Linked DNA regions of Nothobranchius furzeri. The main gene of each other region encodes a partner of the protein of the gene in region 5 in a complex. Links are inferred from orthologs where the notes say so. Each region holds a gene or a part of one and is shown on either strand. Other genes may lie near its edges.

Evidence for each region.
Region 1: taf5 (region 5) and taf8 share a complex: the UniProt entries of both Homo sapiens proteins name them as parts of the TFIID basal transcription factor complex. The link is inferred for Nothobranchius furzeri from reciprocal best matches to the Homo sapiens genes TAF5 and TAF8.
Region 2: taf5 (region 5) and taf7 share a complex: the UniProt entries of both Homo sapiens proteins name them as parts of the TFIID basal transcription factor complex. The link is inferred for Nothobranchius furzeri from reciprocal best matches to the Homo sapiens genes TAF5 and TAF7.
Region 3: taf5 (region 5) and tada3l share a complex: the UniProt entries of both Homo sapiens proteins name them as parts of the TFTC-HAT complex. The link is inferred for Nothobranchius furzeri from reciprocal best matches to the Homo sapiens genes TAF5 and TADA3.
Region 4: taf5 (region 5) and taf6 share a complex: the UniProt entries of both Homo sapiens proteins name them as parts of the TFIID basal transcription factor complex. The link is inferred for Nothobranchius furzeri from reciprocal best matches to the Homo sapiens genes TAF5 and TAF6.
Region 6: taf5 (region 5) and taf11 share a complex: the UniProt entries of both Homo sapiens proteins name them as parts of the TFIID basal transcription factor complex. The link is inferred for Nothobranchius furzeri from reciprocal best matches to the Homo sapiens genes TAF5 and TAF11.
Region 7: taf5 (region 5) and tada2b share a complex: the UniProt entries of both Homo sapiens proteins name them as parts of the TFTC-HAT complex. The link is inferred for Nothobranchius furzeri from reciprocal best matches to the Homo sapiens genes TAF5 and TADA2B.

The regions. Positions count from the first base shown.
Region 1 is NC_091755.1:40,694,803-40,699,341, reverse strand, and holds the start of taf8 (transcription initiation factor TFIID subunit 8), read right to left. Parts: upstream 2,869-4,539; 5' UTR 2,741-2,868; coding exon 2,693-2,740; intron 2,512-2,692; coding exon 2,358-2,511; intron 1,298-2,357; coding exon 1,199-1,297; intron 1,112-1,198; coding exon 1,049-1,111; intron 927-1,048; coding exon 802-926; intron 691-801; coding exon 543-690; intron 460-542; coding exon 317-459; intron 1-316. Other genes in the region: g0s2 (G0/G1 switch protein 2), read right to left, coding at 3,650-4,022, 4,110-4,252. UniProt on the Homo sapiens protein: The TFIID basal transcription factor complex plays a major role in the initiation of RNA polymerase II (Pol II)-dependent transcription.
Region 2 is NC_091741.1:82,927,386-82,931,253, reverse strand, and holds part of taf7 (transcription initiation factor TFIID subunit 7), read left to right. Parts: intron 1-937; coding exon 938-1,132; intron 1,133-2,665; coding exon 2,666-2,778; intron 2,779-3,868. UniProt on the Homo sapiens protein: The TFIID basal transcription factor complex plays a major role in the initiation of RNA polymerase II (Pol II)-dependent transcription.
Region 3 is NC_091743.1:74,426,613-74,430,925, forward strand, and holds the start of tada3l (transcriptional adapter 3), read right to left. Parts: upstream 3,154-4,313; 5' UTR 2,952-3,153; exon of another isoform or gene 2,908-2,951; intron 2,613-2,907; 5' UTR 2,582-2,612; coding exon 2,372-2,581; intron 2,285-2,371; coding exon 2,037-2,284; intron 1,905-2,036; coding exon 1,799-1,904; intron 1,678-1,798; coding exon 1,542-1,677; intron 1,415-1,541; coding exon 1,311-1,414; intron 500-1,310; coding exon 393-499; intron 38-392; coding exon 1-37. Other genes in the region: actin-related protein 2/3 complex subunit 4, read left to right, coding at 3,574-3,576, 4,137-4,255. UniProt on the Homo sapiens protein: Functions as a component of the PCAF complex. The PCAF complex is capable of efficiently acetylating histones in a nucleosomal context. The PCAF complex could be considered as the human version of the yeast SAGA complex.
Region 4 is NC_091750.1:47,776,746-47,779,999, reverse strand, and holds part of taf6 (transcription initiation factor TFIID subunit 6), read right to left. Parts: intron 2,825-3,254; coding exon 2,747-2,824; intron 2,666-2,746; coding exon 2,564-2,665; intron 2,487-2,563; coding exon 2,304-2,486; intron 1,905-2,303; coding exon 1,830-1,904; intron 996-1,829; coding exon 870-995; intron 760-869; coding exon 586-759; intron 1-585. UniProt on the Homo sapiens protein: The TFIID basal transcription factor complex plays a major role in the initiation of RNA polymerase II (Pol II)-dependent transcription.
Region 5 is NC_091746.1:23,735,951-23,740,567, reverse strand, and holds the start of taf5 (transcription initiation factor TFIID subunit 5), read right to left. Parts: upstream 3,123-4,617; 5' UTR 3,063-3,122; coding exon 2,636-3,062; intron 2,364-2,635; coding exon 2,132-2,363; intron 2,058-2,131; coding exon 1,742-2,057; intron 1,657-1,741; coding exon 1,493-1,656; intron 1,397-1,492; coding exon 1,261-1,396; intron 1,174-1,260; coding exon 1,053-1,173; intron 968-1,052; coding exon 838-967; intron 1-837. UniProt on the Homo sapiens protein: The TFIID basal transcription factor complex plays a major role in the initiation of RNA polymerase II (Pol II)-dependent transcription.
Region 6 is NC_091755.1:54,208,483-54,212,847, forward strand, and holds the start of taf11 (transcription initiation factor TFIID subunit 11), read right to left. Parts: upstream 3,164-4,365; 5' UTR 2,974-3,163; intron 934-2,973; 5' UTR 903-933; coding exon 726-902; intron 1-725. Other genes in the region: nemp1 (nuclear envelope integral membrane protein 1), read left to right, coding at 3,919-4,030. UniProt on the Homo sapiens protein: The TFIID basal transcription factor complex plays a major role in the initiation of RNA polymerase II (Pol II)-dependent transcription.
Region 7 is NC_091754.1:63,115,779-63,120,440, forward strand, and holds the start of tada2b (transcriptional adapter 2-beta), read right to left. Parts: upstream 3,017-4,662; 5' UTR 2,882-3,016; coding exon 2,612-2,881; intron 1-2,611. Other genes in the region: cfap184 (cilia- and flagella-associated protein 184), read left to right, coding at 3,141-3,761, 4,001-4,348, 4,450-4,662. UniProt on the Homo sapiens protein: Coactivates PAX5-dependent transcription together with either SMARCA4 or GCN5L2.

The DNA.
Region 1 (4,539 bases), on a different chromosome or scaffold from region 5:
ATCAAACTTCTTCTGGACACTGAACCATCCCTGGCTAATCGCAGAAACGTATCTCTGTTGATTACTCCACTAACACCACACTAGTACCAATAAAGAGCTCTTGTGTTATTTTGGATAGCGCCTTATCCTTCCTATTACTCCTAACCGTTCTAACACACTCCGCAGTGTAGCTGCGACTCTCTCTGTTTCAATCCTAAGTGCTGCTTTTTATTGCCCTGTTCCTCTTAGTTTAGACCTTCAGAATGGCACCTTCAAAAAGTTATTTTTACTACTACTCTACTGCGCCTGGCACCAATTCCCAGCTGTGAAGACTTACTGTCACCATATTTCCAGCTGTGTTCTCGCTGTCGGTCTGGTCGTCCTGCTCAGAGGAGTCCGTCTCCTCCAGCGACTGCAGTTCCAGCTCCGAGGGCAGGAGGGCGCTCAGATATGGGATGGTGCTTGGCCGAGCTGCGATCACTAACAACAGCAATGTGTTATTCTGTATTAATGCACAGGGTTACACACAATCTGACGGGTAATGTACAGTCGGGATCCCTCACATGGGAAGGCCGTGACGTCGTCTTTGAAGAGGCTTTGAGTTTCTCCAGTTTTGGCCATGAAGCGTGTGAGGGCCCGTTCTACGTCTCTCCTCTGGTTCGCTGCCTTTTCTCTCACCACTTGGTACTCGGACACAGGCTCTCTGAATGTCTGAGGGAAGGAAGGAGAGCCTCGCAAAACACCTGTTTATGCAACATCACCCACTATGGGGGTGAACGTGGTTTTATAGGGCTATTATGGAGATTATGTTGATGAACTTACAGGTGTTTTGATGTAGGTATGAGGGTCCGGAAACTCTGGGAAGTGGCTAGGAATATGAGGTGGGTGAGTGCGCTTGTGCCCAGCTGACAGGGATTTAGGTGTTGTTGGTGTGTTCGTGACTGGAGCTAAAAATCAGGAAATACAAACATGTAGAACTTAAAACTAGCCTACAACCGTGACTCGTTACTTGATATCCTAGGGTATCATCACAGCTCTAACAGCAGAAATGTCAGGTTTTGTTTCTTACGAGCTGTAATGACCATCCTCTGTGACCGCTTGGCGTACACGGGGAGAGTGTCGACATTAAAACCTTTCCAAGGACAAACAATCACCGATTAGGAGTGTGTTCACAGTAAAAAAAAAACATGTCACCATGCTGATGCACCTTCAGTCTTACCCATTTCAATGAGTGTGACCACCGTGTCAGAGAGGGTTGGGACGCTCCTGGCCGTGTGTTCACAGTATGCTTTGGCACAACGACCTATTTCACTTATATCTTTACAGGAAAATGATACCATTAGTATTTCAAAAACTCTACAGGCACGCTTTTAAACAACCAAACAAATACCTCATCAAAGGCCAGCACCAATCGTACAACACAGTAGTGGATAGAAGCTCTCAGAGTCATAACCTGCAGTCACTAGTTCTTATTTAACTTCTTTAAACGCTGGACGTGACTCCGGTTGAAGACGTTCATTTGAACACATTGTGATCTCTTAACAGCGACATATTTTTTATTAAGTTCTCATTTTATTTATTCAGAGACGGGTGAGGGAGCTGACTGTGGTTGTGTGTGTTTGTGTGTGTGCGTGCGCAGACACGAGGGTCCAAATGCGGCTTGAATTCACCATTTGTCATCTCACCTGCTGTGCTGCTAGTTTCCCTGACTCCACAGGGGTTTGCCTAAAGTTGTGCGCATTTTCCTGTCAGGTTTTCTTTATAAATGTGCGTGGAAAGTGACACACGCGGTTTTCAGACCCGGTTTTGTTTATAAATGGGGCCCCAGATGGAGCAGAAACAGCTGAAACATAGAGGACGGAGGCTCTTTAAAGAGCAAGTCACCCCCTACAAGAAGCGTACTCCACTCCCACTTCATGTTTGAAAAATGCAACAAATGCTGTTGCCTAGCAGACCGAGAGGGTGGAGCCACTAACAAATACACACACGCACGACATTGTGACATCATAATGTACCAGTTTACATCATAGCATACCTCTTAGCCAATAGCGGTGGCAGATTTAAATTCAAATGCAGTGAAGAGTTTTTACCTGACAACGGCACAACACTGACAGTTTAAGGCAGAAAATTTAAATTTTAACTAAAATGCACTAAAGTGCAAAACTATTGACCACACGTGTCTGCAGCACGATTAGACACGCATTTATATAGTTTATCAGAAAAAATAGTTGATTTGGGGGTGACTTGCTCTTTAAACTAACCTAGACTGATTAGATCAAGTGAAGTTTAGACGTAAACATGCATTCATCTGAATAGCCTTAACCTGGTGTTGGAAGCTCGTGCTCAGCGGACAGAAGCTACTGTTTGTAAACACTTACAGCTCTGCATCATCTCCGTGAGCGTCTCCACCGCGGCCTTCTCTGCGCTCTCAAAGCCGCTCTCGGTCAGCAGGGCGCTGACAACAACCTGCAGGGTGCGACGGCGGGCCAGCTGGTAGTTCTCCGCGGCGCTGGAAGCCGCTTTAGCGCCACGCTGAAAGAGCACACACACAAACCCTGGCGTTGTAAGGTGCTAGCTTAATGTAAATATCTATCGAAATACTACTGCTCGTGCCAAGGACCAACATGTTTATTTACAGTAGTAATAACTGTGGCGATGAGAGGCGCTTGTAAGCTAGCTGGCGCGTTCTAATGCCCTAAAAAGCATCTCTTACCCCGCAGGAGGGCAGCGACCCTCCCGATACTACCGCTGGATCCGCCATAAGAGGTTAGCTCCAGGTTTCCTTCTCTAACAAATGCAATTCTTCTTCTATTTCTACTTATCCAGAAACCGCTTCACCGTCGATTGTAAACACAGCTCATACTATGACGTAATTTCCGCTTTTGTTGCGGAAGTGAAATTGAGTATTAGAGTCTTTCACTCTGCCATCTAGTGGCTATTTGCTGACATAACGTACCAGTAAGGGCGCACATCTCCCCAGTTTTACTGCTTACTGGTTACCAGAGGTGGTCGGGCCTTTCGAGCAGTGGCTCCCACACTTTAGCTCTGTCCTTGTGCTCTTATTGAAAAGATTGTGTTGAGAAACAGCTGAAAACACATTACGTTAGAATTTTTTTATACCTTATTTTATGTTCTTTTGTTTTTACGAGCACATTTTTACACAGGTTGTATGCGGTGTTTACAGTTTTTATTTGTGAAGCCCTTGGTGATATTTTTTCTGCGAACAGTGCTAAATACACATTACTTTTTGTTTTACTCAATAAAATTCTCCTCATGCATAAAGCTTAAACCTCTACCGTTAAAGTCGAATAAATCTGAATCTGTGGGCGCTTTAAATTAGGGCCAAAATTCTGCGAGCAGAAAAAATGTTTATTTAAGTACAAAATGAATGACACGAATGGCATTTCATGAGCTCCATAGACACCCAGTGCATGTCAGCCATTGGAACCTGCTGCCCAGCAGCATTACTAAACTGTATCCTGCAGTTTTTATTGTAACATTTCAGCTAAGTTTTAGCCACCAGCTAAGAAAAACTACACATTTAACCATATCTGAAATAAATTAAAGAATAAAAAATGAGCTGCTTGATTTGGTAATGCAGGCTACCACCACCACCACCACCAACAATACTGGTATATCTTTGTCCTTTTAAGTGGTGTGGAGTGTTTCTTTAAGAAGCATGTAAGCGGTTGGCTGAGCTTCTCTGGATAGATGTCCCCAGATATTTAGTCTTGGCTCCAAACGATACTGCTCCCATCATGTCCTCAACTTCGGCATGAACTGTGGCAGAGTCTGATTTGCTCGTACTGTTTTCCTTATTCATCTCGATGTAGAACTTTGCTTGTTCTTCCCCTGGGCTGTGATTGTCTAAAAAGGGCTGGAGAATCATCTCCACCACACCACCGACCATCCCGATCATCGCCAGAGTCGAGCCGAGCATGTAGATCTTAAGCATGCTCCAGCTGGGCTTCTGTCTCAGCATTTCCTTGGCAAAAAGGATGATTTCGTTGGTGCTGTCCATTTTCTGATATGCAATGATTCTGCTGGAAGAAAAATAATAGTTTAATGTAGTGTTCTTTTGTGGAAAAAACAATTATCACAAAGACATTTGGCTAATGAATGATACTCACTCTAAGGCAGACGTCAAAAATGTGAATTTCTCCCAAGTGTTTGGCACGATCAGGCATTCGCAGGTGGAGAGGCTGGAGCAGACTTCCCATTTAAATACAGCCGAAGCCGCGTTTCCTCCCACAACAGAGGAGAGACCATGCATATTTATGAGGCCACCTTTTACAGAGATTAGCACGTGTTTGTGTCAAAGGGCATGGGTTTGTGGGGAAGAGAAGTTGAACAAACACTCCCCATACGTGTAACATCACACATGATGTGCAGCACATACAGTAAACAACTGTTTAGTGAGTGCACAGTCACTGAAAATAGTTTTGGAAAACCCATCAATGAGCATACAAACTGAAGTCTGAGTGGTTGGTTTACATTGTGTGATTTGTAACCATGCACATTGGCCTTCCTCACCAGAGCTTGAAAGTTGTCCAATCAAAG
Region 2 (3,868 bases), on a different chromosome or scaffold from region 5:
AAGCTAGCATAGATCAGATCTTTATACATTCGTATGCATGTATTGTTTGCTTATAGACGCATTCAGTCATATGTTGCTTCTAGGGATGTAAGAAAATATTGATATAGCAATATATCGTGATCTTTTTTCCTGCGATATATCGATATTCAAAAGCTGTGTATCTAATTTTTGGAAGAATTTACATGCAAACGTGTGTATTAACTTTTCTTTTGGTGCAAATCAAATGCCGACCACTAGTTGGCAGCAGTGTACAATGGGTTCTGTTTCCACCATTGAATTGTAAATCCCTCTATCATGGGTCAGATACCTCATGTTAAACATGATAAGTATCAGTTTTGACTGTTTATTGAATTTTCCTACAATAAATTCAGCCTAAAAAAATCGCTGATATCGTCTGACTGAATGTATCGCAATATATCGGGATATATCGTATCGCCTCCCCGTATCGTGATTCTTATCGTATCACCATCATTTCACCAATACACTTCCTTAGTTGCTTCCATATACTTTACCAGTGCTGCTTACAGTTTGTAGCCTTTTCAATTTAGACTGTCCACTTAAGAAACTTTTGACAAATTTTAAATGTTACAAGTTTTTTTTAATGGCCTTTAAAATGAAAAACACCTTATTTTGTGATTTTATTTGTGCTGAGATATTTTTTTTTATTAAAAAGGAAATTAATAAAACATGATGATCTTCATGTCAGTTTTTACAAAACGCCCAAACAGTCAAGGTTTGGGTTTAGAGATCAGAGAAGATTATTCTGGATGTTTGGACTCCAGGATGTTTTCCGTCAATGACCAACAGACCAAAAATGTTATCTTTTTATAAACTTTGGTGTCTCCAAGGGAATTCAAAGCCATCTTAGTTTTCAGAGTTTCAGCGTGTCTTGTCTGTGTGTTGTTGTTAATAACACCGTTGTGCTCTGCACGGCCAGTCCCGCGCGACGAGCTGAGGGAGATCTTCAACGACATCAGCAGCTCAAGTGAGGAAGAGGAGGACGAAGGGGACCGGCATGAAGACGAGGACCTGAATATCATGGACACAGAGGATGATCTAGTGCGACAGCTCCAGGAAAAGCTCAACGAGTCGGATTCTGCTCAGCATGAAAGCGACAGAAACAACCAGATAGGTGAGAATTAGAAGTTTGGTCGTTGTTCATCACAAGGTCAGCAGTGTGGGGGAGAATAATCTCACACTTTAAAGCTGTTTAACCTTTTTCTAAAATGCAATGTGGGCCTCGTTTATAAAACTTTGCATAGAATCCTTACCAAAACCCTACTTAAGCTCAGTAAAGAATAAATTACTCACGCAAACTAGTTTACTACGACCTATAATACTCTGCTCACTCACAGCTGCACGCAGTTTCTGCTTTCTGTATCATGGCCAGGTTTCCTGTGTCCAAAGCGTACTCACGCCAGGTCCAGTGTTTGCTTGAATTTGCGCACAATTATTCTGTCAAGTTTTTCTGAATAAGTCACGTTTGCATGGAAAGTCACTTATGCAGTTTTCAAACCTTGTTTTCTGTGCAAGCAAGCTTTATAAATGAGGCCCCTGGTCTGTAAATTATCATTTTCATTTACCTGTTTAAACATTTTCAGGTTGCAGGTTCCAGGAAACGTCTGCACGTAAAGTGCAGACTCAAATTTGAATCTCTTTACTTCCAAATAACCTACATACCTAGCTGAATGAAGCAAGTGCTGTGTTGGATTATGCAATCTTTCATGCTGTGCTTGCAACTCACACCTCAGGGTAAATGTTCAATCTCTTAGCCAACTTGGTTGTTAATTTTTTTGTCAGAGTGGTCACAGCAACAAGGTTGGACTTTGGAAGAAAGTCAGACATTAAATTAAATCAGATCACCCCTAGGTACTTGTCGAAGCAGATGTAAAAAATAAACGGAACCAAGTGTTTGAACTTTTAATAAGAAGTGAGCTTTCTAGGTCAGACATCACACACAGTCAAAGAAATAGCCTGGCTTCCCCGTAAACGCGCATGCTGCTGCACCCTGCAGACGAACACACTGACAGCTCTCAGCTCTCCTCCTTAACCAACCAGGCTGACAGGTGTTGCAGCGCGGCATGCAGCTCAGACAGCTGTCCGGTCTGACAGCGCCGGGCCTCCTTATCTGCATACGTGAAGCTGTCAGTCAGCAACTCCACTGGTCAGCTGCAGACCAGCATCCAGGCAGAGCGTTTTCCAATATGTTGCAGAATGGTTTGCCATGATTCCAGCTGCTGTGCAGGCTTGTAATAAATGGTGCAGCAAGGGCCCCTTGCTGCTTAATTTAGCACAATACAGCAACTGCATTGGAAAATTGAGCACCAGTGGAAATAAGCAGTGAATGGATGCAATTAGTTAGAAAAATATGGAGCCAGTGCAGCTACAGGTTAGTGGGAATCAGTTGAATTGAATTAATTGTAACTCTCTTTGTTGAACCTACAGCAAACTGATTTAATTGTCTCATAATGCGTCACTGCTGCTGGTGCATCATCCGTTAAACAGACCAATCGTTCCCTAGAAGGTTTAATTTACTTAATCTGCAGTCATGCATGCATTGTTCTCCAGAGTTGTTTAGTTGCATCAAGCGATGCCAGACCATTGTTTTTTTCTGAGTTGTTTTAGGACCTTTTTTAACACGTTGGCCTCCTGCTGTTTTCTGCAGTTATGGAGTACCAGGTGCAGATTAACAACATAAAGGCCAAGCTTCAGGAAACTCTTGCCCGCAAGAAACAACAGGAAGAGCTCATCATGAAGGTGGAAAACCAGGCCCTGAAAGTAAGTGGCCAATGCTTTCTTTTTGCTCCTGAATTGCATGAAATCACTAAAACACACACACAGGGTCCGAAATTAACACTCGCCACTCGCCAAATGCGAGCAAATTGCTCCATTTGGCGAGTAAATTTTTGAGCTCTATCTGCCACCTGGCGAGTAAATGTTTGCACCAAATTAGTTATGTTTATCAGTCATCTTCCATGGATTTCTGTGATACTCCTCCCGCCTGCATGCAACGTACACAAACGTGCGCGAAACGTGAGCGCCGCATCCAATGTCATTTCCACCTATCCCATTCAATCAGTTTATCAAGTTAGCAGTTAGCTTCGTGTTAAAACTAGCGGTGAAATGTGGCGGTTTTTAACTGGAGTCAGCCAGCCTTCCAAAAGAAAACTCGTCGAACTGGAAGAAAAACCACCAGGACCAGTGGCAACCAGATTTTGTGAAAAGTGGCGAACTGGAGATGGCGGAGTCGTGAGACAATGGCTACATTATGATGGCCACGTAGCGTTGCTGCCTTTCACAGACACTTTTTTTCTGCACGTGCTGCAAACAGGATAGCCGTCTTCTATCAACTGTCCCTCGGCATTCTTCAAATATCCAAAAAATGCCCGTACTTCCCACTTTGTCTTCTTTGAGGGATAATAAATGTCCCAAGTGCTGCCGTCTCCTCCTGCCATTATTTCAGCTTTGGCTTCAAGAAAGTTTTGGTCGTAAACAACAAAGCGCGCATGTGCCGCCGGTAACTTCCAGCAGATGATACGGTGGCTGGTAAGGGTCACCGCGCCTACACCGCAGCCACGGTAATCCACCGAGATAATATATATATTTTTTAAAACAAGACGGTTATTATTATTGTCTACTTTTTTACCGGGGTTTACTGCTACACTGGTTACCGTGACAACCCTAGCCCTGACACTTTCAGATATTCTCATGGTGCAGCTGTGTTCTCCAGAGATCAAGGACCTCTTGGCCCTCATGGAGGGGGCTGTCTAGCACACTGCTGCTATCCACTTAAACATTCTCCTTCTCCTGATAATAACTTTTTGCTTTCCTTGACGTTGGACGTGTTACTGCTAGTTTACCCATTTAA
Region 3 (4,313 bases), on a different chromosome or scaffold from region 5:
TTTGATTCGTGCCTCCAGGGACCGTGTGTGAGGAACACTGTGGAGGGGAGAGACGGACGATTTATGTGGAGGAGTAAAGCTCATCAGTAGCTTTGCTATCACCTCCGATGTAACCATAGTTATAACCGACGACGTATGGAAAGATACATTGATTAGTTGTAACCGACGCACGCTGAAGCTACCGGTGCGGTCGCATCGCTAACGTTATGAACGAACCACCGGTTCATATCGGTGAATCTCTCCATCCCTACAGCAGACCTCTGAGATGGAGTGGGCATGTTAGAAATAGGCAGTTCACAGGCTTTGTAGACAAACATCCGAACCTTAAACTGAACCTGGTAGATAACGTTCTACAAAGAGCTGATCTTCTGCACGGATACGATGCAACGCACCTGAATGCTTTGCCTTGGCTTCGAGGAGAAGTGCCAGCACCGTCATTGGCATCCTTTCCTGATATGTCTGGTATTGGAGAATCCTCCATAGGGGATATAATGTTCTCCTGGAAAAGAACAAAACCAAACTGATAAACATACACCTCTATGACTACCTCTTGTTACGCTATAAGCCCAAAAGGAGCTGGACTTCAAATATTCTAGAAAGGTTTTGCAGCAACATTTTTCAGGCTCCAGATTTAGCGATGAATACTTTTCTTGTTTCTGATGCAAAATCTACACAAACATAACTTAAACTTTAGAAACCAACCAGTGCTGTGTCAACACCCAACACTTTTTCTCTGCATGGATCAATGCAAGAGAACAAATCAGTGTACAGGTTTCTGACAGTTATTCCGATGCCTCTGGCACACCAAAAGCAGCACGCACAGAGATGTTTTATGTGTCTGTTGGCTGCACAAGAGTATGCCGCAGTGCAACGTTTCCAAACCATACAAATAAACAGCTTTCAGATCTCAGCTTTGCAGCTTTTGGTGCAGAAGAGGCTTTAGATGCACTAAAAAGACAAACGGTTGAAAAGAAGGTAAAAGTGCGAGCAACGCTGCAAAGCAAAGCTGAATAAAGTACTTCAGATTGTGATCTTATGACCGTTACAGAAACCACAAGTGCTGGCTGATGAATCAAGTTGTTTCACTAGAGAACACACATAAATACATATGTTGGTTACACTAAAAGTAGTTGTCAGGAATCAGAAGGTATCTCTGCCTGCTGTAAAGTATGAAATCTTAAAACGGATGAATATGGGTAAGTGGAAAACAATACCACACAATGAAGTAGAAACAAACAAAAGTCGATGTTACCTAAAAATGGTTGCACCTCAATCCTAATTCAGTGAGATTTGAATGGAGTTAGTCTGACCTCTACAAGAGCCTGCAGCAGCCGCTGTGTGAGGGGGAAGAAGGGACACCCATCTTCTGGTGATTCATGCTGGGATTCTGACTTTTTCAGCAGGGAGTCGACATCTGTAAAAAATAAAATAAAAGTAAAGACGAGTATTAAAACAAACATAGTAGCAACAGCTGCATGTCACAGTTAAGCACAGTTAAGACAAAAGCACACATGCTCACGATCGTTTCAGGCCTCCTTCACCTTTTGCATCTAGTTCTGACAGCGGCCCTCCCATGATGCTTTTCTTCTTGTCGTTGGCCCGTGCTCCTTCCCTCTGCTCCTCCAGCAGGTCCTCTTGGGCCCATCGCTGGGAATAATGCTTCCCCAGAGCTGGAATCTACAGTTAGCACAAACGGAGCTGAGTCGCTGGCGTACTTTTCCCACAATGCGTCTTCATCAACCGCAAACTAAGATGTTAATTATTACTTAAATGAAGAAGACTGTGATTTACGTCTTACTTTGAAGTACTCAGTCTCATCATCTGGAGGCTTAAGAAGCTCCTCCAGCAGTCGTACCTCCTCATTTGTGATATCAGCACAATATGGCTCGACTGACGCCCAGAACCTAAAAAAAAAACACATTAAAGCAAAAACAAACTGATGATTGTTGTGGATATACAGCACATCCCTGAACAGTCTAGCTAATAATGCACCAGAAGATATTCTTCTATACTTAAAAGGTTCTGATGCTGCAAACCTGTTGGGTGCATCGTTCTTCGGAGTGCGAGGGATGTCTTGTGGATCATCTGGAAAATCATACTCTTGAACTTTGGGCTGTAGGATTTTGGATTTGGGTCTGCCAGGACCTGGGCCTGGTGCATGTCCTCCCTTTCCATCCAGTTTTTGCTTCTTAGGTTTATGGCGGGATGGGGCCGCAGGATCTGGGTCTTTGCCCAGCTTTAGAAATCGTTTGTCTCCCTTCTTGTCTTGCCAATCTGTGAGGATCTGAAGAAGTAGGTAAGAATGAAAGTTTTAATATTTTTATATATTTTTTATTTGGAGTCCATTCTTTCATTAACCTGAAACACCCACCTGTCTCTGCTCCTCCAGGGCTCGGAGGCGCCGGCTGGCTGAGGACAGCAGGGTCTCCAGCTCTAGCTGCAGGGTGTCCAGCTCTTCGATGCCGATGCCATCGTCGTCTGACCGTCCCAACACTGCGGTGTAACGGGGGCACAACTTAACGTGCTCCACGGGCTTGAAGTCGTAGTACTTCAGCGGGGGGCAGTCCTTCAGTTCGCTCATGATGCCGTGGTGCTGTCAATGTCCTATTAAACTGGTACAAACACGAGCATCGCGTTAGTTAGAAGTATGTGTGTCTCTCTCTCTCTCACACACACACACACACACACACACACACACACACACACACACACACACACACACACAGGTGTTCGGCCGAGCTCGGTGGTGCGTCTCTAATCAAAAACCCAAAGCACGTACGTGAAAAAAGGATGCATCATTCCGCCCCGGGCCCAAATGGGGCTGATATCTCAGAATTTAACAACAGTGGCTTTCATATTCACTGTCTGCATACAGATATTACACCACGGAGAAATTTAAGACCTTACATTTTCATGTTTGGAGCCCAGAAACATTGAGTAGTAGCATTTACCGTCAGTAAAAAGTGTCCATGATGGAACAAACCATTGTAGCAAGAGGGGTGTCGATAAAGATATTAATAAAACAGCACCTTCCCTGAACCAAAAGAAATATTAATCAAGCACTGTGTTTATGTTATGTAATATGTACTATTAGATTTAAAGATATACAGCACACAAAACAAAAATTGCCAAATTTTGATCACAACAACCCCCATGTAAACCAAAATGTCACGGTGGGATTAAACCATGTTCTATCAGTGCGCAGCTGCACAAAACCTTTTAAGTAGATTTTCAATTCTAAATCGACGTAGTGGAACATTGTAGTATTTTTATTTTACGAATTAAATCAACACAACCATCATTTTAAAAATCAAGGTAACTTTTTTTAAAAGTCATAAAAGCAAAGACTCTCACCCCCCACTTGGTTAGACAAATGGATGCACCGCTGTAAGTGCTCGTTTTAGAAACCACTTCCCTGCTGGGCGGAGTTATACTTTCAAACAATGTATGCCCGCCTAACCCAACCAGAAAGGTGAATAGAACAAACGCACTCTTGCTTTACATTACCATGAAGAATTTACGGAAGAGTCGTACCAGGCGTGGCTGAGGAACTTCCTTCTTCACAGCTCAAAAATGGTAAGTCTCTTGCACTTTGCGAGTTTCTGAAAATATAGAATAATTTTGCGATTTCTTTCAACTCACTGCGACTTGACCTTAGCTAGCTAGCTATGTGTTCGAGTCACACAGATGGCGTTTGTTTGTGGCTGGCTTCAGTAACGGGCATCTTTCATACGGAATGGAGACTGAAGTGATTTAGCTGAGCTGTGTTCTGGGGCCTTTTTTCGTTCGTTAGTGTTACAGGTGGCTCTTTGAAAACACACGTTTTTAACGTTGTAAAATTACTAGCACAATTATGAGGTCTGATCAGCGATCTACTCTCACCTGGAGGCACCTCACTCACCGAGATTCAGCTTAATTCCTGCTTTTAATGCAGTTTTCTGCACAGACGACCGATAACTACTTTATTAAAGAAACCCTAAAACGGACAAAGTGAAAAATAATAAGGTTATATATGTATTAATTCATGTATGGATGCTCAGTTTTGGCTCAGGTGAGGTCGGTCTCACTGAGCTGGATCAACAGAACATCATCATGCAGGATTCCTGTTGCTAACCCTGATCTCTGTTCCTGCTCAGACAGCGACTCTGCGCCCGTATTTGAACGCTGTGAGGTCCACCCTGCAGGCAGCCCTCTGTCTGGAGAACTTCTCCTCTCAGGTGGTGGAGCGCCACAACAAACCGGAGGTAGAAGTCAGGTATGTTTATTGGCACAGAACCACCTGCAGTCTCGGTGGTGTCAAAATCCACTTTTTT
Region 4 (3,254 bases), on a different chromosome or scaffold from region 5:
TGTCACAGAGGAGCTTTTTCACCACCTCAGTGACCTCAGCACTAGAGATTTGAGAGCCCAACTCAAAGTCCATCACTGGAAGCCGTGCTGGTGGAATTGAGGAGAACTTCAAAGTACTCTGCTTACCGATCCACAACGTCCTGAGTCGAAGTCAGCAGCACACTGACCCCACTATAAACAGAGTTGGTAGGGCACTGCTTTCTTTTTGGAAGTTAGAAACTTCTGACAGGAGACTGCCATACATTCCCAGCAGACCCTCACAATACGTTTGGGTCTGCCAGGTCTGACCGGCATCCTCCCCCACCATCGAAGCCACCTCGTCACCAGGTAGTGGTCAGCTGACAGCTACGCCTCTCTCTTCACCCGAGTGTCGAAGACACGCCGCAGATCAGATGAGATGACAACAAAGTCAATCATGGAGCTGTGGCCTAAGGTATCCTGGTGCCAAGAGCCCATATGGACCTTTATGTCTGAACACGGTGTTCATTATGGACAATCCATGACGAGCACAGAACTCTAATAACAAAACACAGCTCGACTCAGATCAGCGGCAGACTAGAACACTTAAGTAACTCTGCAGCTTACCTGTGTGATTGTTAACGTGGTCCTGTTGACCTGCTGGGCTTGCAGTGTTGCTTGAGTTCTGGCCTTTACTACATGAGAGCACAACATGGGCCCAAGGTAGCCATATTCTGCCCGATACTGCTCCACGTTGTCCGGCTGAGGTCGTATCTTGGCAATAACACTCGCACAGTGTTTCTTTAAAAAGAGAATAAACAGCTTATTGCAACCTTTAAAGCACTAGTTGTTAGTCTCTCAGTGTTTTAGTTTACAAACGAGTCTTATTCACATCTAACGACATTTATTACCAGTAAGAGGGTTTGAACATGTTCAGCTCCTATCTTGTCAATGTTGGAGACCACAGGTCCCTCCATCACTGCTTTGATGCGAGCTCCCTCTACGGTGAGTCGAGGAAGGATCAGCGTCTTTATCACCTGAAAAGGTCAAAAACAGGAAACGATGATGTAACAATTCTGAGACACAGAAGTCGTAAATTAGATGTTTTTTCTCTTGTAACAAACTCTACCACCTTCATTTCAGACGATGGCACTTTTCCATTACCTCACTGTGAAAACTTATAATTCTTCCAAATAGAGGCGACCAATATTGGTTTTTCTATTGCCGACAGGTAAAGGTGATGGCCGATTAGTGCTGCCGGTATTCTGGGCTGTTTTTCGTGGTCGATATTTAAACGTTTTCTACCTCATGTTCATGCTAAAATGCCACCAATAACATCAGTTGATTTACAAAACGTTTGAAACCGAATCAGTTTTTGAACACCGAGTTTAACCAACTGTTAAATCTTAATTTTATGCACGGCTCAGTGTTGGAATCAGACATTTAACTAAAGTTACTCAAACAAATTAGTAAACTGGCAAAACTGGTCAAATTTAAGACATTTTAGTTGAAAATAGTTTTTTGAGCATTTATTAAGCAGATGTTATTCAGGAATGTAAATATCCACAAATTTAATTCTGCAGCAGCACCAGGCTGCCCGAGGACATGCCCGACTTTTAATTGGCTTTACTAAGGAGTCGCATCGGCCGATGCTGATATCTAAAAAGTGGTAAATATCAGCCGAGATATCCGTCCACCCCTACTGTCAAAAGGAAAACAACTCAAATGGGAGCACCCCACCACAGAGTTTTTTTTTTTAGAATTGTTTCTATTCACATATTCTAAATACAGTTAAAATAATAGAAACCTGTTCATTGATTAGCAAAAAATTAAGTTAAAATCTAAAAAAAAAAAAAAAAAAAAAAACTTACATCAGCTCCGAGTTCAGCAAGTCCAGCAATGCAGCCGTATCGTGTCGTCCACTGGGTCTTATCATCGAACAAACTCTGAAAATGTCCCCCCCCAAAAAAACACTGATTTAAAATGAGTTTGTGTCACTAGAGCTAGTATTAAGAGTTGTTAAATAATAGGTCATTTGGGTCATCACTGCAGATGTGCTGCAGAACGTTCTACACATTAGTGTTATGATCATCATGGTAAACGTTTGCCTTTAGGGTAGACCTGTTTATTTACATGGGTTTGGTTTACTGGCTCGATTGGTGAAGAACAAACACTTTATTAATGAAATATTAATTACAGGTAAGTTATAAGTGGAACTTTGATTAGATTTTTTGTTGTTCAAACATTTTCTAGTCAAAAACATAAATTCTAGCCACAGAACTTTTCTCTCTTATCTCTTTTCACTTCAAAAATGTCTTACGACCACTTTCCTACCAAACACCTACCTTGGTCAGAGTCTTGGTAACACGTGACTGGATGTTGTTGGTTGTGGTGCTGAAGGTTTTACAGCTCTGAGCCATCAGGCGAGCAGCAAAGTCCCGTAAAGCCCAGTGGTTATCAACATCTGGTCGTAAACACAGCTGTTTACTCACAATACAGGTGACCACAGCTGGGATCAGCTCATGCAGCTACAAAGAAAAACAGCTTTGTTAAAATAATCTTTAGTTTAAAAATGGCGTGGACTTCTGGTTTTTCATTTACTCACATATTTTTCCAAATACAGGGTGGGATTGTCCATCAGAGCTTTGACCATCCGCATGAGATAAATCAGCAGGGCCAAGTTGTTCTGCACCACGTTTACACGGACCTTCGAGGAGAGCGTAAAATCAGCTGACTTATGTTTGATGTGACATCAACAATGTTTACGTTAGGTTAGAAAGATTCTTACTCCTTCAGAAATAAATGTGCTGAATCTTGGAAGCATCTGATACAGACCAGGGTCCGTTGCAATACTCTGTAGAGCTTCCTGTATGAATCAAATAGAAAAACCAGATCAGCAAGCTCACACACATTTTCTAAAATGATGATTCTGCTCTCCGACTTTCCACTTTAAATGGACACTAGGCAGTTTTGGCTAGCACCACCTTGTGTCCGTTTAGTAGAACCAAAAGCAAATCTTATCTCCTGGCTGTGCGTTCGTCTTTTTAACACCTAATCTAACAGCAGAAACGTCTCCTCAGCCTTCATTAGTGTCTACAGGGGTGATTCATCACTAACTTAAACAAATAAACAGTGTTCATGATCTGAAACATGCAGGAATTGCGCAGGAAGCAGATTGCAGCACCAAGTATGTCAGTCCAACTGTTTTCAAAGACCAGACCGGCACTCTGAATTTGCAAATGTGGTATTCTGGCTACAGAGGGCGGTGGGGGTCTGAGTGACATTTCATTAACCCT
Region 5 (4,617 bases):
ATTTCTTGATGTGACTTTATGGCAGTTGCCCAGGGCATCATCGCAAGGAGGATGGCATTCATTTACTTTTGTTTTATTTGGTATTTTTTCAGTCATTTTTGGAAATAGTGATCAATTTTGATTAATTCACAGTCTATGTTTAATTACATTTAAAATAAATGTCAACAGATGAGATCAAACAAAACAGATGAGAATTGCCCTTAAGCTGTTTAACTTGGACCAAGCATTTTAGGTCACAGATAGATGTAGCTTAGGGTCTCTGTCTATACACCTTATAAGACAATTTAGGTGATGGCATGTTGTTTTTCTGCTATTGAACTGTTTTCTAATAATGTTGTGTTTAATAAAGTGAAGGAAGGAGAGAAATAACGTTTCCCTAGCAGTTTTTAAAAATTCCCCCATGTAATCCGATTAATCGATTAATCGTGTCGAGACCCCATCCGATTAATCGATTATCCAAATAATCGTTTGTTGCAGCCCTAGTTTAATGTCCCCTTTAATTCAGTTTTGTCACATTTCTACGGGTTCAGTTCGTCACAAAATGGGAGGTGTTTCGGGCATGTCCTGCCGGCAGGAGGCCCTCGGGTCGACCCAGGACACGTTGGAGAGGTTACATCTCCAATCTGGTCCGGGAACGCCTTGGGGTCCTGCCGGAGGAGCTGGTGGAGAAGGCCGGGGAGAGGACGGTCTGGAGCTCCCTAGTTGGGATGCTGACCCGTGACCCGGATAAGCGGAGGAAGACGACGACAGTTTGTCACAAAATGCTGTTCTCAGAATCTTTGATTAGCGTAAAACCATGAGTGGGCTAACATGGTCATGTTGCATTGTGGGTACTACCTGTCTGGGCTGAAGCTGATGCCGTACACCGGCCCGCTGTGTCCGTAAAGAATCTTCAACTCGCTGGCCGTCTTCTCGTCCATGATCCTCTCCAGAACGTCGTCTGACTCTTTGTCAATCAGATTCAAATCTAAAAAAAGACAAAGAACACAGGATTTTAACTCCAAACATCTGCAGAACTTCTAAAGAGGCGATTATTCGGCCGCGCGCTCTACCTGCTGCAGACTTGACCTTGCGGAGCTTCTTCGGCGTGACGCTCCACACCCGAACCGTGGAATCAGCAAAACCACCTGCGATCAGGCTGGAGTCGTCGGTGACGTCCACGGCGGTCAGACCCTGTGGAGGTCGAGCAGCATCAGCTGCAGCTTACATCGCCACAAAACCTTTAGCTTTGATCAACCCTACTGGTTAGTGCTCGTTTACCTGGTACGCGTTGAGGAAAGTGTAGAAGCAGATGGACGGGAGGTTGTCGGACCCCAAACGGATCCTCTTGGTGGACTCCTTCATGTACATGATCTTGTCAAGCTTATCAGAGTCCTTCAGCTCTGGGAGAGGTATCCTGAACAGCAGAAAAACAAACAAAGGATTTCCTCCATTGGTGTACGTTTGGATCAGCGGGAGGAACGTGGTAAGTTGTTGCGTGACCAACCCACACCTGGTTTGTAAAGGAGCGTTTGGATCCTGCTTCTTGCTTTTGGAGCCCATGCTATCCTTTTTGGGCTTTTTCTTCTTGGGTTTACCCTCCTCGTTCTCGGCCTCTTCATCCTCATCGTCAAGGGGCAGCTCAATTTCTGGCTCCTTCAGCAGGCCGTAAAAAACCTACGCCAGATAAAGTAAAACGTGCTTCAACGGGTCTCTCCGTTAAAATGGAGACCTGGCCTCATCTTGGGTTTGTTCAACCCACCTTAGCCTTATTGGCTTCTCGTCTGGCCTCTCCTGCCAGGCTGCCCGACATTGCATCGATCTGGCTCTTGCTGCGCGGCATCCCATCGAAGATGTCGATGTACAGGTGCTCTTGGATAATATTCCATATCTGGTTGTTCTGCCGCTCCTGTAAATGTCTCTTGAGCAGCTGGTACGAGTCTCGGGAGATCCGTAGGACAAACTTACTGGTGCGGAAGTCCAGCAGCGTCTCGTTGCCTTTCATGTGCTCCTTCTTCGTCAAGCTGGAGAGAATACGTAGGTCCTGTTCGTAGTAGCACTCCTGGTCTCCACTGAACCTGGGAAGATAAATAAAACAGGGAATTTACAGAAGAAGATCTGCAGAATGTGGCTGGAGGATAAAGAGACCTACTTTTCAAAGAAGGCCTTGGCCACGCTTTCATTGTTGTTGTACACCAGCTCCAGGTACATGTGGACAAACAGCGGGTAGAAGAGCTGGGACAGCTCCGCGCGGTGACAGTCCAAAACGGACTCTATGAACCTCTTGAGGCCGCTGTAGTAGGCGTCATACAGAGAAGGATCTCCCTGCTGGCTGTAAGCTGACAGCACCACGCTCACATCTGGCTGGTCCTCCCCAGCTGCTGCTGGACACCACGTCATCCATACAGGACAAAGAGAAAAAACTTCATGAGATGCAAAAAACAATAACTAGTCACCACTTCTGAGACCAAGCATAAACCAGCAGGAGAAGCGGAAAGTGAGTAAAAACATGCAGCTAGGCTGGAATCTGCAACAACACGTGTTTTAATTATCCAACCGTAAAAGTGTGTGATGACTTAATTGTGATGTGTGACTAAAATCACGTGTTTAACTACAACTATGCGGTCCGCTTCCACGTAGCTGGATCAAACTGTACCCTTCTTTGGCGCCTGCGCTGCGGCGGAGGAAGACACCGTCACCCGGCTGAGCAGAGAGCTGGCGTCCACGCCGTCTACTTGCCCGCTCCCCGCGGCGAGCCCCGGTCCCGACCCGCTGGCGTCCGTCCCCTTCGGGTCCAGAGCATCCTCCGGCAGTCCCGCCTCACGACGCAAGATTTCAGCGGACTCCGCCAGTTTGCTCTTTTTGAGGAACTGCAGAACTGCCAGCAGCGTCTGTTGCTCCTCAGGTGGTCCCGGGGCAGGTTTGTTGTTTCCAGTCGCGGTACCGCCGGTACCGGCTCCGGGGGACGAGGAAAGTAGCCTTCCGTCGTTTGCATTGCTGTTTCCGAAGCCATCGCTCGGCGGTTCGGATTTTATGTCTAATTCGTCTTTTGCGTCGACCATACCACCCTGTACGGCCGCCATTTTAAAAATGAACTGCGCATGTGCGAAATTGAAAAACGGGAACCACCGACTACGCAAGATCGAGCCTTCAGATTGGTCGGTACTACCAAGCGTCAATGGACACGAATCAAGTCCCGCCTTCTTAAAATTCATCGGCTTTGACTACGATCCGCTACGATCAAAAGTGTATGGCAAGCCGTTTGACGCAACAACACATGAAATTAATCCCAAATACTCTAAAGTAAGTTTAAGATTAAATGATCTGTTTGTTGATATTTTTGATCTGTTTGTTGATATTTTTGTCACACTTGATATACATAAATCATACGCCTCCTGTTAAAACCACCAAGATGATTACTAGGGATGTGAATCTTAGAGCAACTCACAATTTGATTCGATTCCGATTCTTGGGGTGCTGATTCGTTTCAGAATCGATTCTCGATTCTCAATTCTCAATTTAAATCGATTCACAATCAGTATTAACAAAGAGTGTCAGCTCCAGGATAAACTACTTTGTTGTACAAGTTAGTTAAAGCTATGGGACATTTTTATTTGACTTTAAACTGGTCATGCTCCAAAAATGCAAATTTACAAGGTAAACTAAAGTGATTCTAAAACTGTAAACAGAAACAACCTTTTGACCAAAAGGCAACATTTATTTTTGCTTACCTTGTAAAATATAACTAATCTGTAGTTACCTAACAGTAGCTTTGAAAGTAATACGGTCAAATACTTTTCAAGTATGTGTAGAAACAAGTTACATGAGTAATCCTGAGTACTCGTTTATCAACTTAGAAAATAAATATGAGAATATCTCAAATTTCTTTGTATGGGAAAAAAATACATTCAAGTGCCCTCTTATCAGCAGATTCAAACATAAATCATCTCAATTTATGGGACCACAAAAGTAAACAGAGTACTGACTCTCCTAACAAAGATCAAAAAAGTGCATCTCAGACCTGTAACATGCCAAATATTTGAGTTCTTGGAAGCAATTCTGAATCTTTGTGAATCGATTCTGAATCTTTATAAATAAGAATCTCGATTCAGACTTGAATCGATTTTTTTCAGCACCTCTAATGATTACCTGAAGACATAAGCAAACATACAATAGTGATTAAATGTTACAAGTGTGCCTCACACCAGGTTGTAGAGTTCACTTTCACGCTGCTGAAACCAGAATTATTACCAGTTTTTCCTTTTAATGCCCATTGAGTTCATATAATAGATTAAATAGGCCACATCTGCAGGTTTTTGTCTAGGAAAACTTCCACTCCTTATCTTAAACAGGAACAAAACAACAATTGCTGAATGTGAATTAAGCATCATTTAATAGCAATTCCTCTTCAGCACATCCTGAGCTCCTTTAAAGGAATCTCCTACCATCTTTATGCAGATGACATCCAACTGTACATCTCCTTTAAGCCCCATGAGATGTCTAAGCTGCAGCTGTTACACACCTGCTTAGACTCTATCAAAACCTGGATGGTGGGAGCTTTCTACAGCTGAATGAAGATGAGACTGAGATCCTCATCTGTGCCCCAGACAAGCTGGTTCCCAAAGTCAGAGACTCTCT
Region 6 (4,365 bases), on a different chromosome or scaffold from region 5:
TTTCATCTACATTTTCACACAGGTTTAGAAAGTGAACCGTAGTGTTCAGTTACTACATTAGCTGCTTTTATACAAACACTGTTTGGGTTCTTAACACAGACTGTTCATTTTGGGGTAACGGGCCTTAGCAAAGTGTTTTGTTTGTACTTAAATTATCGTTTTTAGGTTTAACACAAAGATTGGAGAAGAGCAAAAAGTTCACAACAAATGGCTTAAAGGGTGATTTGGTTTAACCACCTGAACAAAAAATGTGTTCTCTGATGTTTTATGAAACCAGAAATCACATTTTATGCGACATGTACCAGATAGTGGGTTTTTGTTTAATGATGACCACAAAACTGATTTATTTATTAGAAAATATGTCCCGTAAGAGTCTAAGCAAACTACAAGTTTCTATCTGCTGTAAATATAAACACATAAAATATCCAGTTGTCCTATTATTAGTAATAATGTGTCCAGGATTAGATGCAGGGGATCAGGCCCAAACCATCACACCACCACCACAAATCTTCACTTTGATGTAACAAGATACCTACTTTGTTCATGCAAGCATAAACATTTACACACCTGAGAACACAGCTAAAATAAAGCTGATCTTAATTAAAACAGGTTTTAATGTAAGGAAACTTCAATTATGGCTCTTCTCTATAGATTCATGTTTTACTATTTAGAGCTATCAACTCCTGTCAATGTTTCCGCGCACCATTATGGTTAGCTTCACTCACAGCTTTAACCAGAGGTGTGGGCTGATCCTGCACGCTCGGTTCTTTATTTTCTTCTGTAGGTTTTTCTGAGACGAGTTCATTTTCAGGTTGATCCTTCCTAACTACTTCTTCATCGATAGCAGAAGCTGCCGTCTTCGGAAGAGAATCTTCTGTTTTGATCCGAGCAGGATCTGCCATCGTTTCTCGACGTCTCTCTACGATTCAGCCTCTGCAAACATAAAATGTTCTCAACATAAATTTATCTGGATAAATATAGACCAATTAACTGGTAAACAATCCAAATATGCTATTAATAAACTTGAAATCAAAATAAATGATACTCTGGTGAAAGATCCTCTTATCATAGCTACTGAAATGAATAAATACTTTGTTGACACAGTTCGAGATATAACTCAACAATTCACACCGTCTAACGGTGTTTTTGATCCTGTAAATCCTTGTCATGCTGTTTTCAGGATAGAAGAAATAACAGAAGTGGACAGCAACCAATCAAAGGCAAAGGATGTATATGGTCTCTCGACACCCATTTTTTAAAACTGCACAAAGATGCACTAATTCAGCCGGTAACTCATTTAATTATTCTATCGTTTAAACAAAATGTTGTGCCTTTAGCATGGAAGCTAGCTGCAGTCACGCCAATTGACGAAACTGAAATGGCCAATTATCGGCCCATCAGTATTCTCCCCACTATCTCCAAGGTTGCAGAAAAGTGGGTGGCAAAGCAACTGAATGCATATTTAAATTTTGGACACACATCCCTACATCCAATGCAATTCGGATTTCGTAACTGCCACTCCACAGAGACTGCAAATTGTGTCTTTGTGGAAAAAGTCAAAAGTCTCCTTGACAGGCATGCATGTGTAGGAGCTGTGTTCATAGACCTCAAGTAGGCTTTCGACACGTCGATCATCAAATTCTTCTAAACAAATTGAGTCATTTTAATTTCTCACCAGAGGCGCTGCTCTGGTTTCAGTCTTATCTGTGTGACAGAAAACAATATGTGTCCTTGTTTGGCAATAAATCCTCCTACATTAGTTGTCCAGTTGGAGTTCCCCAAGGCAGTATTCTGGGGCCGATTTTGTTTATCATTTATATTTATGATCTTCTCGAAGTATGTTCAAAAGTAAACATACAAATGTATGCAGATGATGCTGTTATTTTTACTGATACTAAACGTCCTCAGGAAGCCTCCCAATTGTTGACTGCAACCATGGCCCATGTACAAAAATGGGTCAAGAGTTCCCACTTAAAGCTGAACATAAAAAAAAACTGTTTGCATGTTTTTCACCAAAAAAAACAAACAATTGAACTAAAAAAAATCAAACATCTTTCTTGAAGGGGTAGAACTTGATATTGTCAAAGAATTCAAATATCTTGGGTTAACTTTGGACCCAACCTTAACTTTTAAGAATCACATTAAACAACTTTTAAAAAAAAACTGTCAATTATAATGTCATTTTTTTAACAAGTTAGACCTTTTTTCACTCCATGCTGCAAAGTTATTTTTACATTCTATGATTTTGTCTCACATGGAATAGTGTATAACCTCCTGGTCACTTGCTGCTGGTGCAACACTCAAACCCATAGAATCCCTTTTTTTAAAAGCCATAAAAATCCTTGATAAGAAATCATTTAGTTTCCACCACTGCTTTGTTTTAGATAAATATAGACTTCTTAATCTTAGTAACTTTGTTACCTTCAAGAATGCTTGCCTGTTTTTTAAGGTTTTACATGGACTAGCCCCTTTCCCACTGACAGATTGTAATAAATCGCGGTCTATCAGTGGAACGTCGACCAGGGCTACAGATAGAGGAGACTGTGAGGTGCCTTACAGACGCACTGCTTTTGGCCCGACCACACTATCCTAACTAAATATTGGACTAAATATTGGAATAGTCTACCACTCAGCATAGGTGACTCACAGTCATGCAGTTCCTTCAAATTCAAACAATGGCTGCAGGAAACCCAAACCCGTATCCATCAGTAATTTGTCCTCACCGTGGTGTTTTGTGTGTTTTCTTTCTGTTTTTCCTAGTTTTAAATACAATACTTTACTTTCTTTTATTGCTTTTATTACCCGCCTAGGGACTGCAGATGTAAATTAGCACTGGTGCTACAATCTGGCATATTTACCGATGCAATTTATTGTTGAAGTTCATTAATATGCACTGTCCCTATTAAATAAAGAAAGAAATGAAATTTACCGTTAAGGTGGATTTTCACGACAGAAATAACAGCATATACATACCTTCAAGCCAGAACGAGCTCAACGACACCACAGGAAGCAGCAACAAAACTAATTTAAACGTATTTTAGGTAGCCGTGAACAGAAAGTGGATTAAACATGATACATTTGTATAATATGTTAAAGCACACAACAAACGTGAAAAGCTAAGCTAGCGCTTCTTTCTTCTTCTTCTTCTTCTTCTTCTTCTTCCTTTTCTTCTTCGTGGGTTAATGGCGTTTGGAAAAAAAAAATGTTGTCGCCCCTTACCGCACTGGAGGGTAGCTGATGAGGCGAATTCATAAACTCTAGGGAATCTTGAACGTAAAATAGTGCTGTTCTGTTTATTGCCACCAGCATAGAGCTCATATTTTTCATTTAAGGAAAAAACAGACTTTGGAAGAAATTAGATAGTCTTTCTACTCAGGAAGTCTTTTACATGTATTAATCCAGATTTATTTCCTTCAAATCCTCCTCCTCCTTCTCTTTTGTTATGTCCCCGACAGGAGATGTTAAAATGTGAAGGAGGGGTAACATAAGAAATGCGACAGCGGGTTTAAAATGGCTTTAATTGTTATAAAAGGATCTACCTGGATAAGATGCCTGTGTGGAGCTTGCTTCAAACTCAGTTTTTCATTGGCTTTTTGTGAACGAAGAGGTAAATTGCTTTCCTCTAGTGGCGAAAAGCCGAAACTACACGTTGGTTCTGGTCATTTTTAGTCATTGGGTAAAACATCAGTAGAAAACATGTTAGCGTCCTTATATCAATGAGGCTAGAAACTGGAGTTTGAAGTAATTATCTTTAGGTAAGATAATACTTCTTTTTTACAAAACGTACTATCTCTTTAACAAACGTAAGCTAACGTGCAACAACAACGACGACCCAGCGCTGTGATTGGCTGGAATGAGCCGCGAGAAACGGAAAAGGAAGTGGTAGATGTTAGGGGAGGAGCTTAAGGTAGAACGGCCATGGCGGGATGCGTGAAAACGACACACTGTTGTTACAAGTCAGCAATAACCAAAGTTTTAGTCTTCGTTGTACTCTTTATCTGTTTACCCCAGTCTTCACTCCAGAGTACTGGTAAGAAGCTGTGTTACAAAGTGGGAAAATACACAGTCACTTACTTTATTGTGTTTTAACTCAGGCTAATCCAGCTAATTAGTGTTAGCTTGTTTCTTTCACAAAGTGAAACTGCTTGTGTGAGTTTAGTGGTGCTTCATACGTTCCTCTTTAATTCTGTTGGTTATACATGTAGTAGTTAACATCACCCCAATTCCCTTTTCGTACAATTCCTTTACATTTCACATGGATAAGCTATTAGTTGGGTTTATCCAAAAGATAAATCATTCTAACAATTAGCAGTAGATGATAATCTCACAGGATTATCCAGTCCAGAGACATGTCTGCTTGTGAAA
Region 7 (4,662 bases), on a different chromosome or scaffold from region 5:
GACCCAAAAACACAGTTTATGGTGCTGGTGACCCAAAAACACAGTTTATGGTGCTGGTGACCCAAAAACACAGTTTATGGTGTTGGTGACCCAAACACACACTTTAGATTGTTGGTGACCCAAACACACAGTTTAGGCTATTGGTGACCCAAACACACAGTTTAGGGTGTTGGTGACCCAAACACACAGTTTATGGTGTTGGTGACCCAAACACACAGTTTAGGGTGTTGGTGACCCAAACACACAGTTTATGGTGCTGGTGACCCAAACACACAGTTTAGGGTGCTGGTGACCCAAACACAGTTTAGTTTATGGTGCTGGTGACCCAAAAACACAGTTCAGGGTGTTGGTGACCCAAAAACACAGTTCAGGGTGTTGGTGACCCAAACACACAGTTTAGGGTGTTGGTGACCCAAAAACACAGTTTAGGGTGCTGGTGACCCAAACACACAGTTTATGGTGCTGGTGACCTAAACACACAGTTTATGGTGCTGGTGACCCAAACACACACTTTAGATTGTTGGTGACCCAAAAACACAGTTTAGGGTGCTGGTAAGATGAAACTAAAACATGCTGGATACCGGCCCTCCAGAACAAAGGATTGAGAACCACTGCTTTATACATTATTAGATTATTTACAGCGGAAATTAAACAGAGGAAAATCCAATCATCCCTCTGTGCATTTACATGCAGCATCAGTAAAACACAATTGCCTTATGTTGGCTGAAGTTGTTTTTTATGCATGTAAACATATCTCCAACATGTATTTACACCAGGTCCAAAGCCTTTCTGTAAAATCTTTCTGCAGGCTAACTTACGCAGTTTTCAGACCCCCTTCTGAGCGGGAACAAGCTTTATAAATGAGTCCCCTGGTCTTTTATTTTTTTAATCACAACTGTCTATTTTTTGCACATTTTGAATATATTTTTAACCATTTTCTAAATTCTTTTTTGTATTTTTACATTTTTTTGTTTTTGTGAAGCGCCCCGTGATTTTTATCTTGAGAGGCGCTATAGAAAGGAAGAAGAAGAAAATATCATTTCTGTAGCGCCTCTCATGATAAAAATCACGAGGCACTTCACAAAAACAAATATAAAAAATGTAAAAATATAAAAAAGCATTTCGAAAATGTTTAAAAATATATTTAACATGAGCAAGAATAAGCAATTGCGATTTAAAAGAAAAAAGTTAAGAAAGAGGGAGAGTGAACAGGAAAGAGGGAAATCAGTGGATCCTGAGGAAGGTGGAATAGGTGGGGAGAGCAGAATAAAGAGAGAGAGGTGAAGAAGGTCATACAAAAGCCAGCTTGAACTGGTGAGTCTTCAGCTGCTTTTTAAAGGAGACCACTGAGTCCACTGATCTCAGGCTCAGGGGGAGAGAGGTCCAGAGTCTGGGGGCCACAGCAGCAAATGATCTGTCACCTTTGACCTTTAGCCTGGTGCTGCACAACCAGTAGGCTTTGATCACTGGACCTCAGGGACCTGCTGGGGGTGTAGGGACTAAGAAGATCACCAATGTAAGATGGTGCTTGTCCATGTAAGGCCCTATAGACCAGAACCAGGACCTTGAAATGAACCCTGAAGTTGACTGGCAGCCAGTGAAGCTGGAGGAGAAGCGGGGTGATGTGGGTGTGTTTGGAGGACTTGGTCAGAAGCCAAGCACAGGCGTTCTGAACCACCTGTAGACGGTTCAGGGAGGTTCTGCTCAGACACGTGAAAAGAGAGTTACAGTAGTCTAAGCGTGAGGAGATGAAGGTGTGGAGAACTGTCTCAAGTTCAGAGCGGGACAGAATGGGACTCAGCTTAGCAATGTTCCTGAGATGGAAGAAGGATGAGCGAACAAGAGAACTGACATGAGAATCCAGGGTGAGAGCTGGGTCAAAGGTCACGCCAAGATTCCTGACAGAAGGTTTGGTGTGGGAAGCAAGCTGACCAAGAGAGTCTCTGACTTTGGGAACCAGCTTGTCCTAGCAGGAATACCCCTAACAGGAAACCCTAGCTAGGAACGACCAACAGTCCTTGCTGTGCTGACCGAAGGTTCCTTGAGGGAACATAAGGATGGATCAGATCTGATAGATAACGTGAAGACAACTCATTTAAACATTTAAAAGGATATTTTTTTCTTCTTCTAAAAACTCCTGTTTTTATGGTAAAGAAACTAATTATAGTATAAAAATTTATGAGGTGGTTCTATAGAATTTAATTAATATTTAAACAGAAACATCCTTCCTTAACAGCACAAAACTCTGCTTTTAGATTAGAACACTTTTAGTGAGTTAGGATTTCTACTGAATAGTTTTCTTTTCCACATCCTCATATCTGCTGAGCTTGTCTGACACCTGAAAACATCTAAATCTTGTAATAAGTCAGCTTTTCATTTATATTTACAGTTAGTTTATGCTAGCTCTGGTCCCAACTCTATGAGAAGTCAGAAACAACAGATTATTGATCTTGCTCGTATTTTACTGTGAGTGTACCAAATCATACAGACAGTTGTTCTCCTGAAAGTTACAGACGTCGTGGCCCTTTTTTTGGTTCTTGTTAAACTTTTTTTCTTTCTATAGACATTAAAACTAAACTTTAGTGAGTATTTGTGAATAAAAGTGATGTACCCAGTTTCCAAATCCATACTGCTCGATGGCATCGAGGAGCGACTGCTCTTCCCTGCTGGTCCATCCTCCCTCTGCTTCGGGACCCCAGAGTGAGAAAAGACCGCCGTCGACCTGCTGGTAGCCATGCCATCTCCGGTGATTACCGATTTCTGCACCTGCCGAAAAGCACTCGGGACACAGCTCGATATCGGGGCAGTCGGTGCAGCGAAGCCGTAGGTTTGTAACATCCGCGAGGCAGTTAACGCAGTACTTCTTCCCCAGGTCGGCCATCTTGCCTGGCTCTTGCTTCTTGTTGTAGAAGGCAGGACCTCGCGCCTGCGCACTACGTGCCTCACTACTCGCGCTGCACACCCACCTTCCTAATTAATATTCATGAGCGTCACAGAGCTCCTGTGATTGGTTCCTGGTCCCAGTTTCCAGGACAACGGAAACTAAACGAATAGTTTCATTGACAACAGAACTGCGCGAGCCGTTTAACTCCAAACAAATGCCATTTAATACATTCTAACTTTATTTTTTATTATTAAAAATGAGTAGAGAGTTACAGAATGAAGAAAAGAATAATGCTCCTAATAATGTTAATGAAGATGAAGAAGAGCACGTTTCAGCTGGAATATTAGCACACGAGGCACTCTCTGTCAGTGGGAAAGTCATAAATAGGCTCTTTGTTGAAGAAGCAGCATCCTGTGAGCCAGAGGAGGGCAGTGGTCCCACCACAAGTAAAGAGCTCGATGTGGACATGAACAAAACAAATGAACACCTGCAGAGTGACCATGATGGACCCTCGGGGATCAACTTTCAGACCCCTGACAAGGAGCCCATCTGTCCTGCACTGGAGGAGGACGAGGAGGAGGTGCCTGCCGCACTTGCAGACAAAGAAGAGCACAAAGGGTTGGTGCAGCTCCTGGAGAACCAGGAGAGAGAGGAAGCCCACCAGCTAAACCAACAGCTGCAAATGAAGTTGGCAGGATACTTCCAAAGGAGAGCAAACAAGGATGTTCATCAGGAGTGGTCAGCATCAGGGCAGCATGAGTATGAGAAGCACCTCCAAGCCCTGACTGACCTGAAGCTTCAGCTCAGATCTGCTTCCGAGTCAGCCCAGAGGCAGGCAGAGGAGCTGGAGATGCTGGCACAGGAGAAGATGGACCAGGTCTGAAGACGGCTCATACAGACTGCTGCGGTCTCTGACTTTAGTGTAAAAAAGCTTGTTAGTTTGCTGTTTTGGGCGCCACACAATTACATAATGGTCATTTTGTCACTCAGGACCTAAAACCTGAACTCTAGGAAATGTAGGATTTTTTATTGACCAGAGAGAGACATTACAGATTTGTTAGATGAGCTGTATTAAGTTAACCTGACTCTGACAATATTTTAAATGTGTGCCTTCAGGTGGAAAAGGACTGGCAGGCACTGGTGGCTCTGAAGCAGGATGCAGCTGAGGCGGCGCTTAGTCGTCGCCTGGGGAAGGAAGCAGCTCGGGCCAAAGTCAAGTCGGTCCTGGTTGCAGCGCAGATTCGGCAGGACGAGCTGACCAAGGTGCGCCTCAAGCACTTCAAGTTGAAGCTGAAGGTCCACAGGCTGGAGGCAGAGCTCCGTGAGAGAAATAAAGACAGCAGGGATCCCCTACAGGTCCGGTTTGAGCAGCTGTGGGCTGAAAGGCTGAAGCAGAAACAACAGGCTGAGAAAGAAAATGAAGAATCACTAAAACTGCAGAAGAAGATCAGCTGCTGCTTGGAGGTAATGTGATGAACCCATTAGTGCAGCGAAACCCAAACGTGTGAGTCAAAGTTTACATCTTGCTGATTTCTCCTATGGTTCTGTCTTTGCTGTTGCATCAGCTCCTGTCAAACATCAAAGAGAAGTTGTTCTGGGGTCAGATGGAGGTCCAGTCAAGACGGCAGCAGTTGGCAGAGGTGGAGGCCATGGTGGCTAAGAAGAAAGACCTTCTGAGCCAAACCAGGCAGGACCGAACCAGAGTCCAGCGAGACAACCTGAGGCTGAAGGAGCAGTGTGGACTCCTGGGGAACAGAGTCCTGCTGCAGGACTTTGAG